Linked DNA regions of Oryzias latipes. The protein of the gene in region 1 binds, or shares a complex with, the protein of each later gene. Links are inferred from orthologs where the notes say so. Each region holds a gene or a part of one and is shown in the gene's direction. Other genes may lie near its edges.

Region 1 (4,594 bases):
GATTGGTTTATTTTGAAGAGTAGTGTCACTAATTTTGGAACAACTCTTGTATGAGGAAGCACAGATAAATATATATAAAAATGGCAGCTCAGAAGCTGAACCAGTGACCTCAAGAATGTTTGAGGTGTTTTTACTTTCATTAAAACAGCACTGAGACAATGCCAAAGAAAATACTGGTGAAGAAATTACATTTCCTGAGTGTAATTTTATATATAAAATTAGTTTTGAATCTGTGTGTCAGCTTTTCTTATTTATTAAAATGCAAATTCCACATAAAACATCAAGCAATCATTGACAACATCCATGAGGTTAAAGTAGTAAAAAGAAACTTGATGCTCCATACATTTAAACTAGTCATAATCGGTGTTAACAAAGTCTGTATTGTTCAGTAAGATGTTGGAGTCAGTGGAAAGTAAAATTGATACTTTCCACTGTAAAGGTTTGCATCTTTAAGACTCAGGAGCAGAAGGTGTAAAAAAAGGGGCAGAATATTTGCTCCAGTGATAATATTAAAAATTAAGCAAATAAAATAAATGTGAAGATGAAGTTTTACTGATGTTTTGGATATACTTGATTAAAAAAATTTTTTTAACTTTTCTTACTCAGCAAAATTCTATTCTTCTCAATATATTCTCATCAATATAAACATAAAAAGAAAACTGGAAAGGATAATCAGCTGTGTCATAGAAAATCATTCAATTTCACTCTTTTGGTCTAATTGGTCTAAAAAAAACATTTACAATTGCCAGAATATCAGCTCTGCTTTCATCCAAACATGAAATATGAAAAATCATACAAAAAATTTGTCTTCGTGTTTATTTGATTCTTATTCAAGACTCTTTGATGAGAATGCGTATTGTTAATGCAGTCGAAAGAGTTTTAGTGTGTGTGTGAGTGATGGTGGTGTGCCTTGGGATTTTGATAAGAGGACTTTGGCCCGAGACAGTCTGAATATTATGCATTATGCTTTAGTAACATCATTTAAACGTTTATCTTTTTGTTTTGTACATTTGTAAATGATGCAATTTTCTTAAAACAAACATATGTGTAAAACATGAGACAAATTAATATTATTCAGGCATTCAATGTTACAAATGTACAACAACTCCATATATTGATCAACATTAGGAGCTTATTTCCTCAGATTTAATTAATATAGTAACTAGTGTCATTTTTGCAGGACATCTGATGACTTAAGAAAACTCTTCTCACTTTATTTTAAGAGTATTATAATCTACCACACCAAACAAGAGAAAACATTTATTTAACCAGTGTTTTGTTAAGAATGAGGTCACTTTCTTTTAAAAACAAAAACAATTAGACCTTTTAATTTCATTCTAAAATATTTTTGTAATATTTTTAAAAGTCAGAAATATTCCCAATTTGTATTAAAAACTACGGGAATATGTTTTACATGCCCAAAATGTGAAAATAATTCTTTTCAACAAGCAGATTCCTTTTTAAATCTCTAAACAAAAATGTTTTTGCAGATTTGCATCCAGCTTCCGTTTTATTGACGGAAGTGTGTCACACGTCCGGAAATGACGCAACGACGCAGCGTTATTAAACAACAGGCGTTTGCGCGGGCTTCCAGCTCAAATCTTGTGGTTGTTGTAGAAGACGCGTCTGTAGCCCGCGTGCCACACAAAGACTGAACTGCCAAAGCCGCTTTGTCATCGCCTACGTCGTGATTACTCCTCACTGCAGCCTCCTTTTACCGGAGCAGCGCTGAAAACCTCCACCAACCTTTGCCTTCTTTTTCGATCTACGCAACCCTCCACAGAATAACCATGTTTGAGGCTCGCCTGGTCCAGGGCTCCATCCTGAAAAAGGTCCTGGAAGCCCTGAAGGATTTGATCACAGAAGCCTGCTGGGACGTCAGTTCGTCCGGCATCTCTCTGCAGAGCATGGACTCGTCTCACGTATCCCTGGTGCAGCTCACTCTCCGGCACGACGGCTTCGACTCTTACCGCTGCGACAGAAACCTCGCCATGGGAGTCAACCTTAGCAGGTGACGGGGAGAAAAACAACAAAGTTTAATAAGAGGGAAGCTTCGTGTATAATCTGCATGTCATGTGTTCTGCCTATTAAATGTATTTAAAGTGATTATCAGGGGCTGACTTCAAGTTCAGACATTTACGAATTGTTCATGGTAATCGTGTGTGGCGCCAAAATCATCTTGGACGAGTGAAACGTCGATCGTTGTGAGGCCGACAAAGGAGGCCATCTTGCTGGAGAAGCCCGGGCATGTCTCCCTGCTCGGTTAACTCTTTACTGTCCACTCGCTGATTTCAACCAGCAAAAAAACAAAACGTCTAAAACGTTGACATGTGCAAATATGTCTTTGCGCTGTCACAGAGCCGCACTTGCTGCGGTACTTTAGCGCCAAAACTCTTGCCGGCAGTGTTGGCGGGAATCCTCAAAACCCGGGAACTTGCACTTCCGCTTACGTCACTCTTTCATAAGAGTTTCCGGAATTAGATTAGCATGTTGATACAAATACTTGGATCATTTTTTTTAAACATACCACGTTATCGTTTTTAAAATAAATTTACTTCAAACATAGTACTTTATACTTATAGATTAAAAGGTGACATTAATAAAAGCTAAATTTTTGCTATTCAAATAAAAGCTCAAATGTTTTACTGCTTTTCTCAGTATGTCCAAAATCCTGAAGTGTGCGGGAAATGAGGACATCATCACCCTCAGAGCGGAGGACGCCGCTGACACTCTGGCTCTTGTGTTTGAGACCATCAGTAAGTTTCTAACTGTTCGTCATACGGAAACTGTTCATCTGATGAAAATCCTCCAAAGTCTTTATGCTCCTTTTCACTTTTCTGTGTTCCTGCAGACCAAGAAAAAGTTTCAGATTATGAAATGAAGCTGATGGACCTGGATGTGGAGCAGCTGGGCATTCCAGTAGGTATTTTTTAATTACCTCTTCTGCAGTATTTCCCAGCATTCCCTGATCTTCACTTTCTTTGCTCCTGTCAGGAACAAGAGTACAGCTGCGTGGTGAAGATGCCCTCCGGGGAGTTCGCCCGTATTTGCCGTGACCTGTCGCAGATCGGCGACGCCGTCATGATCTCCTGTGCCAAAGACGGTGTTAAATTCTCCGCTTCGGGAGAGCTGGGCACGGGAAACATCAAGCTGTCCCAGACCAGCAATGTGGACAAAGAAGAAGAGGCCGTAAGTATGAGGGGTGGATCTGTCCTGCAGAGGAAAATCGGTTTGTTTTGACATCGTTTTGTAACTTCCCGCTTTCCTTCAGGTCACCATTGAGATGAATGAACCCGTCCAGCTGATTTTTGCTCTCAACTATCTGAACTTCTTCACCAAGGCCACTCCGCTGTCAAAGACTGTAACCCTTAGCATGTCTGCTGATATCCCCCTTGGTAAGGTGGCTTACGTTGTGTGTCCGTCATCACACCTGCTGAAGCTCGACCTCATCACATTTATCTGTTCACAGTGGTGGAGTACAAGATTGCCGATATGGGACACATCAAATACTACTTGGCCCCGAAGATCGATGAGGAAGCTTCTTAAGTTGGAAGCACAGACCGAAAAGGGGGGAGAATGCAGGTGATGGATGACTGGGACTCCTCCTGAAGGACTGAAGGGATCTTACTGTGGTGAACTGTGGTCACTCTGAGGTTCCTGGGCTCAAAATGAAGTCCAGGGACGCTCAGAGTAGCTGGCAGACACATCTGTCGTAGTTTCCAGCAATTGTTTTAGGCCTGTTCTCTCCCTCTTTTTATCCCGTTTGTTTGCAGGTATCCATTCTGTTGTAGATAACACCTCTGTAAATAATTCCTGTGGCGTCACACTGCAAGCTCCAAATGTTTTGTACTCATAAATTCAATCGGAAATAAAGGATTCAAGTTGTTAAAAAACGTTGTTTGCTGTCCACTTTATAGTTTCACTAGCAAACCTTTAATAAGTGCACATGTGTGTGGGTCAAACTTCAGATATTTTTGTTATTTTTCATCTGTTGGTATGCAATTCAAATAGATTTTATTTTTTGCTCCTGTCCCAGAGGAAAAGATGTGTAACCAGAAAACGCCCATTGGGTGGTGCTATTCCCCCTTTTTAAGGTAGAAGAGGTTTCAACGTGACCAAAAAATCAGCTTTTCAGCATGAGATATTCCAGGTTATCCACAGTGTTAGGTTGAGCTTTACAGTACAGTGAACAAAAAAGCAGCTCACTTTGATGGTCTGATTGGGATTTAACCACATAATCTGAGTTCTGAGCCTGCTTTCAGAGAAATTACATCCCACAGCATTATTAAAGTGGACCACCTTCAAATGAAACAAAGATAATCTACATATTCATGCAAATACATCAGACTGTGGGTCTGTTAAGTTCTGTTAGTTTTGCCTTGAATCTGCGTGAATATTTTAATGACATGCTGTTTTTGACGCGCAAATCAATTTCCTTTGCATGTTTTATTGCTTGTTTTAATTATAACAATCTTAACCCTTTATACTATTTCCATCTTTCTTTGTTGAAACATATTAACCAAAATAAAATTACTTCACCAAGAAAGACTTGACACTGGTGCCAAAAAAATGCTATTATTGTGAAAAACACAGG
Region 2 (4,340 bases), on another chromosome or scaffold:
GTCCAGCTGAATCACCAACCACACTCTCTGATCCAGTAAGAATGGATTTGGTGCAGAGAGGTCCTTTTCAGACTGAGAAAGACTATGACTTTCCAAAATCCCCCTCATTGAGCTGTTGTGTTCTTTATGTTGGATTTTTTTATCGTTATTTGATTTTCTGTTAAGTTGCTGTTTTAAATAAGTTGGAGTTTTGTGAATGTCATTTGTTGAGTGCCTAATGTTACATTAAAAAATATATATCTATATGCCTTTGTCATTCATATTTATTTCTTTGCATTTAAAATTTGTTGTGCACCACTAAATGTGCATCCAACATGCAGGCAATATACTGTATTCAATTCTTCGGCAGCAACAATAATTCACAAATGTATTAATGGAGATATTTCATTTATATTACAACAACAGTTGCGCTTTGTTGGTGCTGCAGATCAGTTAGAGGGCCCACAAATAAAATTTCGCTTAGGGCCCCCAGAAGACCAGGGCCGGCCCTGCCCACAGCAGCTTGATTTTTTTAAATTTATTTTTTTATTTCATGTTCTCAGGATACTTGGGGCTTAAATAACCCCAACATTAAAAAAATCGTATACACAAACGTTTACTGAAGTGCTAAAAATGTGCTTTTAAGGCATGTTTTGTTCGCTATTCCATTGCGCCAATCTCCCTTTACAAACGTAGTAGTTTCACTTTGTCTTCGTTTCTTCGACTCTACAAACCCAAATTACAAATTATAACACATCGACACTCTAGTATATCAATTTATCTTAGATTCGGCTTATGAAAAATATGATTTGAACTGCAATTAAACACTAAAAAACGACACTTATTAGGCCGGTGGAGTTGCATACATTAGCATACTTTCCGCTGCAGCTCAAGACAGTCGAAGCAGGCCTAAATGTTAATTAATTAAGTCCTATTTATATGAAAAGGTTGTTTTTTTTTTCATCAAAACGCCGAATTAAGCTACGACTTTCAGAGTTTAAATGCGCTTTAGATGGAGGTTTGTATTTGAAAAGGCAACTTAATAAGTCGGAGAGCGAGGTTAGTCGGTCGGTGCTAAGCTAACGACTCTTACCTGGCTAACGACCTAAAGCGGCCGGCAAAGGGTGCCGTGACAGCCGCAAAGTCAGGTTTGTCTGCCGACCCAGTGGCTAAAACTGACCGGGTTTTTTTTTTTTCGTGACGGTTGTGCGGGGGTTTTCTGACGTGGGCTTACCGCTTTGTTATAGGTGAACAGCCGTTGATCTGGCGGAGGGTGAAGGAAGCAGCCGCTGTTTGCGGCGGAGTGAAGGAGAGACACAGCGGGGCTGCTCGTGCGTCAGCGCCTCACGCTCGGCACGCGGGCTGTTAAAAATATGTCACGTCTGGACGTAGATTTTTTTTTTGGCGGCTTCTGACGGTGTCGTCATTTGTTTCGCATCGTCCCAGAGCGAAATGAAAGTTATTTCGTTGGTACTTTAAGACATGTTAGTGCAAATGTAGCTAGAATTATAAAGGCTGAGGGAAAGCGACGGAAACTTGAAGTCCCAGGCAGCTTTTTGATGTTTCAGCGGGTAGGAACCTGTTCGTTTTTTACAAACATACCCTCTTCGTGTTAAAACATGGCCGTCATCATAACATTGGCCCTTTAGACTAAAACATTTTTAACAAATCAACCTTTTTGTTATAACTTTACTCATTTTAAGAGCATTTTAAGTTCAAGCATGTGTCTTCTTTAACATTGAACACCACATTTATGAACTTTAACCTCATAGTTTCCTCCTCTTAACTTCTAACTACTTACTAAGCCCTATGTATTTTTGTTTTTGCACTTATTTTCATTGTAGTTGTTAAAATGTAACAGTTTTTCTCCTAATTTTGGTCTCTGCTGCTTTCCGTCAGCCATACAACTTCTTTTGGATGACGTCACAACTTGTTCTGCGTTTAAATTTTTGCGGCATAATCTGATTTCTTTTCTCCAGTATCTCAATAATCTCAATCTTTTTTTTTTTTTTTTTTTTACATATCAATACATACATATTTAAGATTGTCTTTGGCCATGCTAGCAGATATTTAAACTAAGAAAAACTGGCTGGTTTTGCAAAGTATTGCCTAGAAGGTAGGTTTTAACACAGAAAACCTGGACTTTTAAATATTTTTTTAAATTGTATTTTTATGTCTTTGTTTTCAATCGTTTATTTGGCTTCATAATGGACACTAAGAACACTTATTTTTTAAATCTGATTTAAGTAATCATATTTAGAGAGCTTTTTACTTTACATTCAACTATTTTTAATCTACAGCAAGATTCCAAACTTTCTAAAAATGACTTTGTGCTTCTCATATAATCACTGGACATAGACAAATAACCCTGGCCTCAAACTAATTACACTGATTGATGACAGGATTGAGAAAAGATGGCCCTAATTTAAGTTCTCGCTTGATTTTGTGAGATTATACTTTAAGGATGTATTTTGTTTTCTTTCTTTAATCTTTCCCTCTTTTCTGTTTTACATTTTATTGTCATATACAGCTGTAGTTTTTACACCTTTTCAACTTTCATCTGCATATCTGTATAATTAAAGTATTTTTATGGAATAAGTTGATTCCGATTTATATTTTAGTTTATTGTTGGTGTGCACATATGTGCAAAAATATTTTTAAATATGTAAAATTCAGTAGTACAGTATTTCCACAGGTTGAAGATGATAAAGAAAATATTTAGATTTTTGTTTTGTTTGTGGTTCTGGAATTTTGACTCATTGCAGTAAAACTATCAACCCTACAAGGAAAAAGTAAAAATGCTTTTAATTTTTCTGATAGATCTGTGGTGTGCTTTTTATGAAGGATGGTGTCTTCAGTATGGATAACAGCTGATAGCAGTGTTTACATCCGACATTTCTCTGATGGAAGTTCAGACGCTCCAAGGCCGCTTCGGAGTCGCACGCCTGGTTCCACATTGAGTCTGACTTTTAGTTAATATTGCATGAGACATATTAATACCCTTAAAGACCCACTCTGATTAAAAAAACAATTGTGTTCTTGGTGTTTTTAACATGTTCTTGTGACATTTCTCTGACGATGAAGGACATATTTAATGAATATTAAGCTTTACATATTATTTCTGAGTATTTTTTAATTAAAATTGCTGTGAATCAGGAACAGACAATAAAACGATGTTTGAAAAAGCTTGTAGTTCTTATGTACAAACTTCAATTCACTCCCTTCTGATGCATCCATTGCAAATGTTTGTGACATTAGGTTGGGGGTGTGAGGGGCTGTTAGCGAGTGGGTAAGTGCGTAAACAGAGAGCTCATAGTTATGGTTGACGGGGAGAGGGAATGGGGCTGCTTCTTGGTGCCAACAGTCCACAACTCAGAGGGGAATTTTTAATATACTCCTGCTGCTCTGCAGTAACTATGTCCTAAAAAATGACACAGATTTTTGGCTAAAAACGGCATAATCATAAATAAAAACCATTTTGAAAATAGATGAAAGGATGATCGGAGTGGGACTTTAAGAAGCTGGAAAAACGGTCACTTGCTAATAAAAATGTTATTTTTAGTGCAGCAACATCAGTAAAACATGGAGGATGTTTATGTTTGAGTGCATATGAATACAGTTTGATACATTTAACAGGACATCTTTCAATAATACTTCTGAGGGCCAGCCCTCTTGCTGTTTTACATCTTTTCTTGTATGTGTTGGGTGTTTATGAGGTTTTATTTATTTTTATTATTTTTACTATCTTTGCTATTTTGTTGTGTTTGTAGCAGGAAAAGTGCATACAAAATAAAGTTGAACTAAATTAAAATTTTAAATGCTAGAATTTGGGTTTAAGGTGGACATTTTTCTTCCCCGTCTTAGAAATAAATGTCCCCCCCCCCCTGTTTTATTGTTAATTCTGTCTGTACCCAATTATGAGGATTACTTTGGGAACATTTATTAATGAAGTTTACCTTATTTTTCATTTTAAAAGTCCGATCCGCCCGAGGACCACTCACCGGTCGAGATGGCGGATGATGGCGGATCGAGCTCCTGCCGGGCTGGAAGATGGTCACAGCAACTGTCAGGACTTCCTAACAAGCTCCTGCAGCGTCTGATGCCCTTCCAAAGAGAGGGTGTGGAGTTCGCCTTGTCTCTGAACGGACGGTGAGCATCTCTGCAGCTCAGACACTCTTTGGAACGGGGTTTAGTTTGAAAACTGTTTGTTTTGTCCGTGAAGAGACTTTGTCAGGCTGCCAAACATAAAAAAGTATGTTTTGATGGCTATTTTTACACACCTTGTTACGAATATGTATTTTTTTTTTACATTTAAGAGCAGTTAAGGCGTCTTTCACAAACCCAATCATCTGCTCCCTAAG
Region 3 (4,353 bases), on another chromosome or scaffold:
AAAGTGAAACCATGTTCATAAAAATATTGCTCTTACTATTTGTATGGGAAGGTTAGACGTGATGTAGTGCAGGGATCATCAAGTTAGCAGCTGTTAGGACTTTTTTGTGCTACGGCTCACCTGAGACCTTTAACGTTTGATCTTTTATGAGGAGAAACTGAAATCCATGAACTGTACATGTCAAATTTCTGTGAACCCAGCTCACGCATACATACCAGTACCATGCCAGACAAAAGCTGATGTGAACTATGCGAGTGGCGCTCGCGGACCCCCCAGCGAGGGTGTGAGGAAGCAGCAGCAGCAGCAGCAGCTGATGTTCTCCAAGTCTGACATTTCACAGCCGCATCAGGGATTCCAAAGGGAACCGTCAAGTTCCTCTCTGAGCCTTTACCTCCACATACAAGTTTTTTTAATGGCATGTTGTTGTTTTTCCACCAGAACCAAACTGTCCTCACCGTGTCGAGGCTTTATTGCATCACTACACGCACACAATCCCCGAAACACAAACGCACATCCAGACGGATCACATGGAAGTGTTCTGACATGGAAAATGGGAGATTAATGGACAGACACATCAGAGGAGAACCAATCAAACTGCTTTTTATTGATTTTGACATTCAGGACCAGAGAAGTAGAGAAAGAGGAAACCGGCGGCGGTCCCCCCGGCGGCGTCCTTCCAGGCAGCCATCATTAGGGGTTGACCTCCAGCCACATTCCCACCGTCTTCGCTGTAGAGTCTTTTACTAAGGGCAGACCGCAGAGATCACGCCGCTGCATCGTCCTCCTGGGTCTGTAAGTTAATGGGCCTCTACAGGAAGACGGCGTGTCTTCTGTTCACTGATGGATGGATTGAGGTTTGAGAGAAGTTTGCTGCTTTTTGCCAGACTTCGTTTGTTTTTTAAGTGTGAGTGCATCTTCTAATGGCATATTATTGTTTAAGTGCATCTCTGTCATCTTTGACCCGCTGAGGCATTTCAAAGTGCTTCACAAAACCCCATAAGCTTTGCACCACACCCAAAAATTCTATAAAAGTCATTTTTACTAAACTGCAGGGACAGCAACCGGCTAAAGGCAGACTTTGCAGCTTTCAAACAGTTTCTGAGGACTGTAACATGTCTACGAAGAAGAAAAAATTATCTTTAAAAATTCAAGATAAAATTTTATATAGATAATAACTCCTGATGTGTTTTTATTGGTTCGTTTCATGTCATTTCGTTTCATTCTTGCATCAGACCGTTTGCGTCAGTGTGGTAAACTGCTGTTCAACAGTCGCCGGCAGGGGGCAGCAGAGGCGCGCGGCGCTCCAACTGGTCAGAAACACGAAGAAGAGCGCGCGCCGTGGCCGTCATTGTTTTGGTCCTCCGCCCTGCTGCTTTCTGCAAATCTGTTAAAGAGGAATAAATATTCACGGAAATCTTTTTGTTCTCCAAAATCAGGTGAGTTCATTTCGTATTTGTTCGGTTTTCTGAGCACTCTGTTGGCGCAGGCGCACTACAGTACCGTGTTTAGTCAAAAGTGAAAGCATATTATTTTCCTGCAGATTTCATCATAAAAACATTTAGTTTTTAAAATGAAATATATTTGGGACATTAAGGTCTGATAATGTTTCATAGATAACTGCGGTTAAGGTGTAATTACGTGTTTAGACTGTCCGTAAAGCTGTAATAAAGGCTCGAGCAGGTAAAGGGGCGTGGCTTCAGACTACATTCCACTTTTGAAAAAAGTCAAACTTGTTTTATTAGAAAAACTTTTACGAAAACCTTATAATAAACGTAGGGAGATGTAATAAGTCCTCATGCATAAGCAGACAGACTCCATCAAACTTTAAATCATCAGGAATTTCTGTTTGTTTGATTTTTATCTTTGATTAAAAAATAAGAAATTCCTAAATGTGTTTGAGTTCAACGAACATCACCTACTGAGTTTTCCTCCATAGCAGCATTTTAAAATGTCGTTCAGAGCAGCAGGATCACAAAGATGAACTGGATCCTAGAAGAAAATACAGATGACTGCATGTTTTTGGTTAATTTGTCTTCATTTTTGTGCTTTTCTGACCAACTTTAACCTGTTAATTCTAAAAGGAGAACAATTTAAATCACTTTAGGTGCAACCTTTGTGAAGAGGAGCCAGATTTATGCTGCTTTCTCAGCAGCCATACTATAATAAATGCAAATGAGTATTTTCATGTCTTCACAGAGAACAGATCTAAATATGTTTTTACCTAAATGACTGTGAATGTTTATGAATGTTTATATTTGAAGACCAGAGATGAAAAAGTCTGTCTGGAAAATTTTGGTCAACATTAAATCTGAATTTCTATGAAATGTTACAAACGATTCACTATTTCCAACATAAGTCACATGAATCTAAGTTATTCAGAAGTTCAAATCATTTTGGTTTAGATCTCAGAAACAATAAATCTCCTCGTTTGGCTCTGAAGCTCAAGCAGCTGCAGGTTGTTGGTTTTAACCAATCAAAATCCAGAAATCCTCAACCTTAGAAAGTTCTGAAGATTTTTATTGATTTAATGACAGGAGCCTGCAGAACGGGCTGCATATGGCGCTTGGTCCGGACTTTGGACATGCCTGCTGTAGACCGTTCTGTCCTGCTTCTGGAGGAATCATAAAGAAACTGATTGTGCAATAATTCTGTGAGATGAGGTATTACTCAAATGGACGAGTAATCTGTTACAGGTAGAGTAACTTGCAGGACGCTGTCATCGTCTCTGTCTGCAGCTGCATCATCGGTACAGCCGGTCACCATGACAACCAAGCGGGGACTCATCACTGACTCCTTCAAGGTGGTGAAGAAAAAGAAGAGAGAAAGGAAGCAGGAGAAGAGCCCCACGCCGCCCCCCCCTCGGACAGGTGGGGATCCTCCGGGTGTCCGCTGATGTGCGCGCCGTGCACGAGCCACGCGGCGTGCACGAGCCACGCGGCGTGCACGAGCCACGCGGCGTGCACGAGCCACGCGGTCACAGAAAGGTCACCTGAGGTCACAGAAAGGTCACCTGAGGTCACAGAAAGGTTACAGGAGGTCACAGAAAGGTCACCCCGGGTCACTGAAAGGTTACAGAAGGTCAAGAGTCCCATGAAAAGTGTCTCCTCCTCTGTCAGAGGGCTGTAAAAACGTGTTCTGTTTCTCTGAGTACAAAAACAGACGAGTATTGAAGAGACAAACTGTAAATGACATAGAAATAGAATCTTTACAGACATAATTATAAAGAGACATTAAAAAATAAATTCTACCTTTCAGGACTTTTTTGTTTGAAATCCGTTTTCTGCTTTTGCAGAAAATGTTGCAGACACCGTCCAGCAGGAGGCGCTGCAGAAGCTCAGAGACTTCGACTTGGAATTGAGATTTGGGCCGTGCACAGGTATGGAAGCAGATGGGGGGGCACGCCTTCAGTTTGCAGCTGGAGCAGCACTGGGGGGGTGGGGGGGTGGGGGGGTCTGGTTGATCTATAGGAAGCAGATCTAAACGTGTCTGCCGGACTTTGCTCCAGCCTCTAGAGATCACAGGAATGCTTTCATGTTAAATAATTAAACCTACTTTCCTCACATTTGACCTGAAATGGGAAGAAAAGAGACGGTTTTGGGGGAGCATCTCCTCTTGGAGGGAGGAGTGCAGCTTTCCTTCTCTGTTTTCAGGGATCAGTCGTCTGCAGAGGTGGGAGAGAGCAGAGCTGCACGGCCTGGACCCCCCCGAGGAGATCAGGGAGCTGCTGCTGAAAGCCCCCGCCGACCCCGAGTACAGCCTGAGGTGACACGTCCTGAAAAAACACACACTGTCCTACTGTTACGGCCAGCTCGTCTGCAGGCGGGTCACAGGAGTCCGGGTCACAGGAGTCCGGGTCTCAGGAGTCCTGGCAGAACCGCAGCGGCTCCTGAAGATGATCAGGAAGAAAATGCTTCTAAATGTTGAAATCCGGCTTTTCCACGTTCAAATAATGCAGACTTTCTCTAAAAAACGGAGATGATGCACTAAAAACTCTGACATCAGGGATGATTTTTAAAACTCTTTAATCTCAGACACAGATTTTTATCTTCTTTAAAAACTCTGACTCTTCATCTCCTTTATTTTCAGCCTGTGGAGCGAATATCCTTTGTGAGTCTGGAGGAGGAGGAGCCAAAGCCTGCAAAGTTCCACCTTTTTACGCCGTTTATCATCATAATGATCATGTTTCTGCATCACAACACGTTCTGTTTTTATGGACCGGTTCTGTTTTATTAAACAGGTTCTGCTGATTCTCTGGCTGCCTATGTTGTTGGGGGGGGGGGGGGGGGGGGGGGGGGGGGGGCTCTTCAGGTAATGTCACCTGCTGAATGTTTGGTATTAGAATCTGGAGGTGGG

What was found. Proteins that work in one complex are often made in the same cells at the same time.
Region 2: the proteins of pcna (region 1) and zranb3 are in contact, whole or in part, in a crystal structure (PDB 5YD8), measured with the Homo sapiens proteins. The link is inferred for Oryzias latipes from reciprocal best matches to the Homo sapiens genes PCNA and ZRANB3. Residues at the interface, in NP_002583.1 of Homo sapiens: Met40, His44, Val45, Ser46, Leu47, Gln125, Leu126, Gly127, Ile128, Pro129, Asp232, Val233, Pro234, Tyr250, Leu251, Ala252, Pro253; in NP_115519.2 of Homo sapiens: Asp1071, Ile1072, Thr1073, Phe1075, Leu1076, Val1077.
Region 3: the proteins of pcna (region 1) and pold4 are in contact, whole or in part, in a crystal structure (PDB 6HVO), measured with the Homo sapiens proteins. The link is inferred for Oryzias latipes from reciprocal best matches to the Homo sapiens genes PCNA and POLD4. Residues at the interface, in NP_002583.1 of Homo sapiens: Met40, Ser43, His44, Val45, Ser46, Leu47, Val123, Glu124, Gln125, Leu126, Gly127, Ile128, Pro129, Gln131, Tyr133, Asp232, Val233, Pro234, Tyr250, Leu251, Ala252, Pro253, Lys254, Ile255; in NP_066996.3 of Homo sapiens: Lys4, Arg5, Leu6, Ile7, Thr8, Ser10, Tyr11, Pro12, Val13, Val14, Lys15.

The regions. Positions count from the first base shown.
Region 1 is NC_019867.2:6,551,200-6,555,793, reverse strand, and holds pcna (proliferating cell nuclear antigen), read left to right. Parts: upstream 1-1,548; 5' UTR 1,549-1,790; coding exon 1,791-2,011; intron 2,012-2,228; exon of another isoform or gene 2,229-2,658; coding exon 2,659-2,756; exon of another isoform or gene 2,757-2,845; intron 2,846-2,851; coding exon 2,852-2,919; intron 2,920-2,938; exon of another isoform or gene 2,939-2,994; coding exon 2,995-3,189; intron 3,190-3,271; coding exon 3,272-3,395; intron 3,396-3,469; coding exon 3,470-3,546; 3' UTR 3,547-3,893; downstream 3,894-4,594. UniProt on the Homo sapiens protein: Auxiliary protein of DNA polymerase delta and epsilon, is involved in the control of eukaryotic DNA replication by increasing the polymerase's processibility during elongation of the leading strand.
Region 2 is NC_019860.2:17,688,892-17,693,231, forward strand, and holds the start of zranb3 (DNA annealing helicase and endonuclease ZRANB3), read left to right. Parts: upstream 1-1,289; 5' UTR 1,290-1,538; coding exon 1,539-1,550; intron 1,551-3,955; coding exon 3,956-4,128; intron 4,129-4,340. UniProt on the Homo sapiens protein: DNA annealing helicase and endonuclease required to maintain genome stability at stalled or collapsed replication forks by facilitating fork restart and limiting inappropriate recombination that could occur during template switching events.
Region 3 is NC_019859.2:1,163,389-1,167,741, reverse strand, and holds pold4 (DNA polymerase delta subunit 4), read left to right. Parts: upstream 1-1,302; 5' UTR 1,303-1,436; intron 1,437-2,693; 5' UTR 2,694-2,761; coding exon 2,762-2,867; intron 2,868-3,292; coding exon 3,293-3,376; intron 3,377-3,650; coding exon 3,651-3,762; intron 3,763-4,086; coding exon 4,087-4,111; 3' UTR 4,112-4,248; downstream 4,249-4,353. UniProt on the Homo sapiens protein: As a component of the tetrameric DNA polymerase delta complex (Pol-delta4), plays a role in high fidelity genome replication and repair.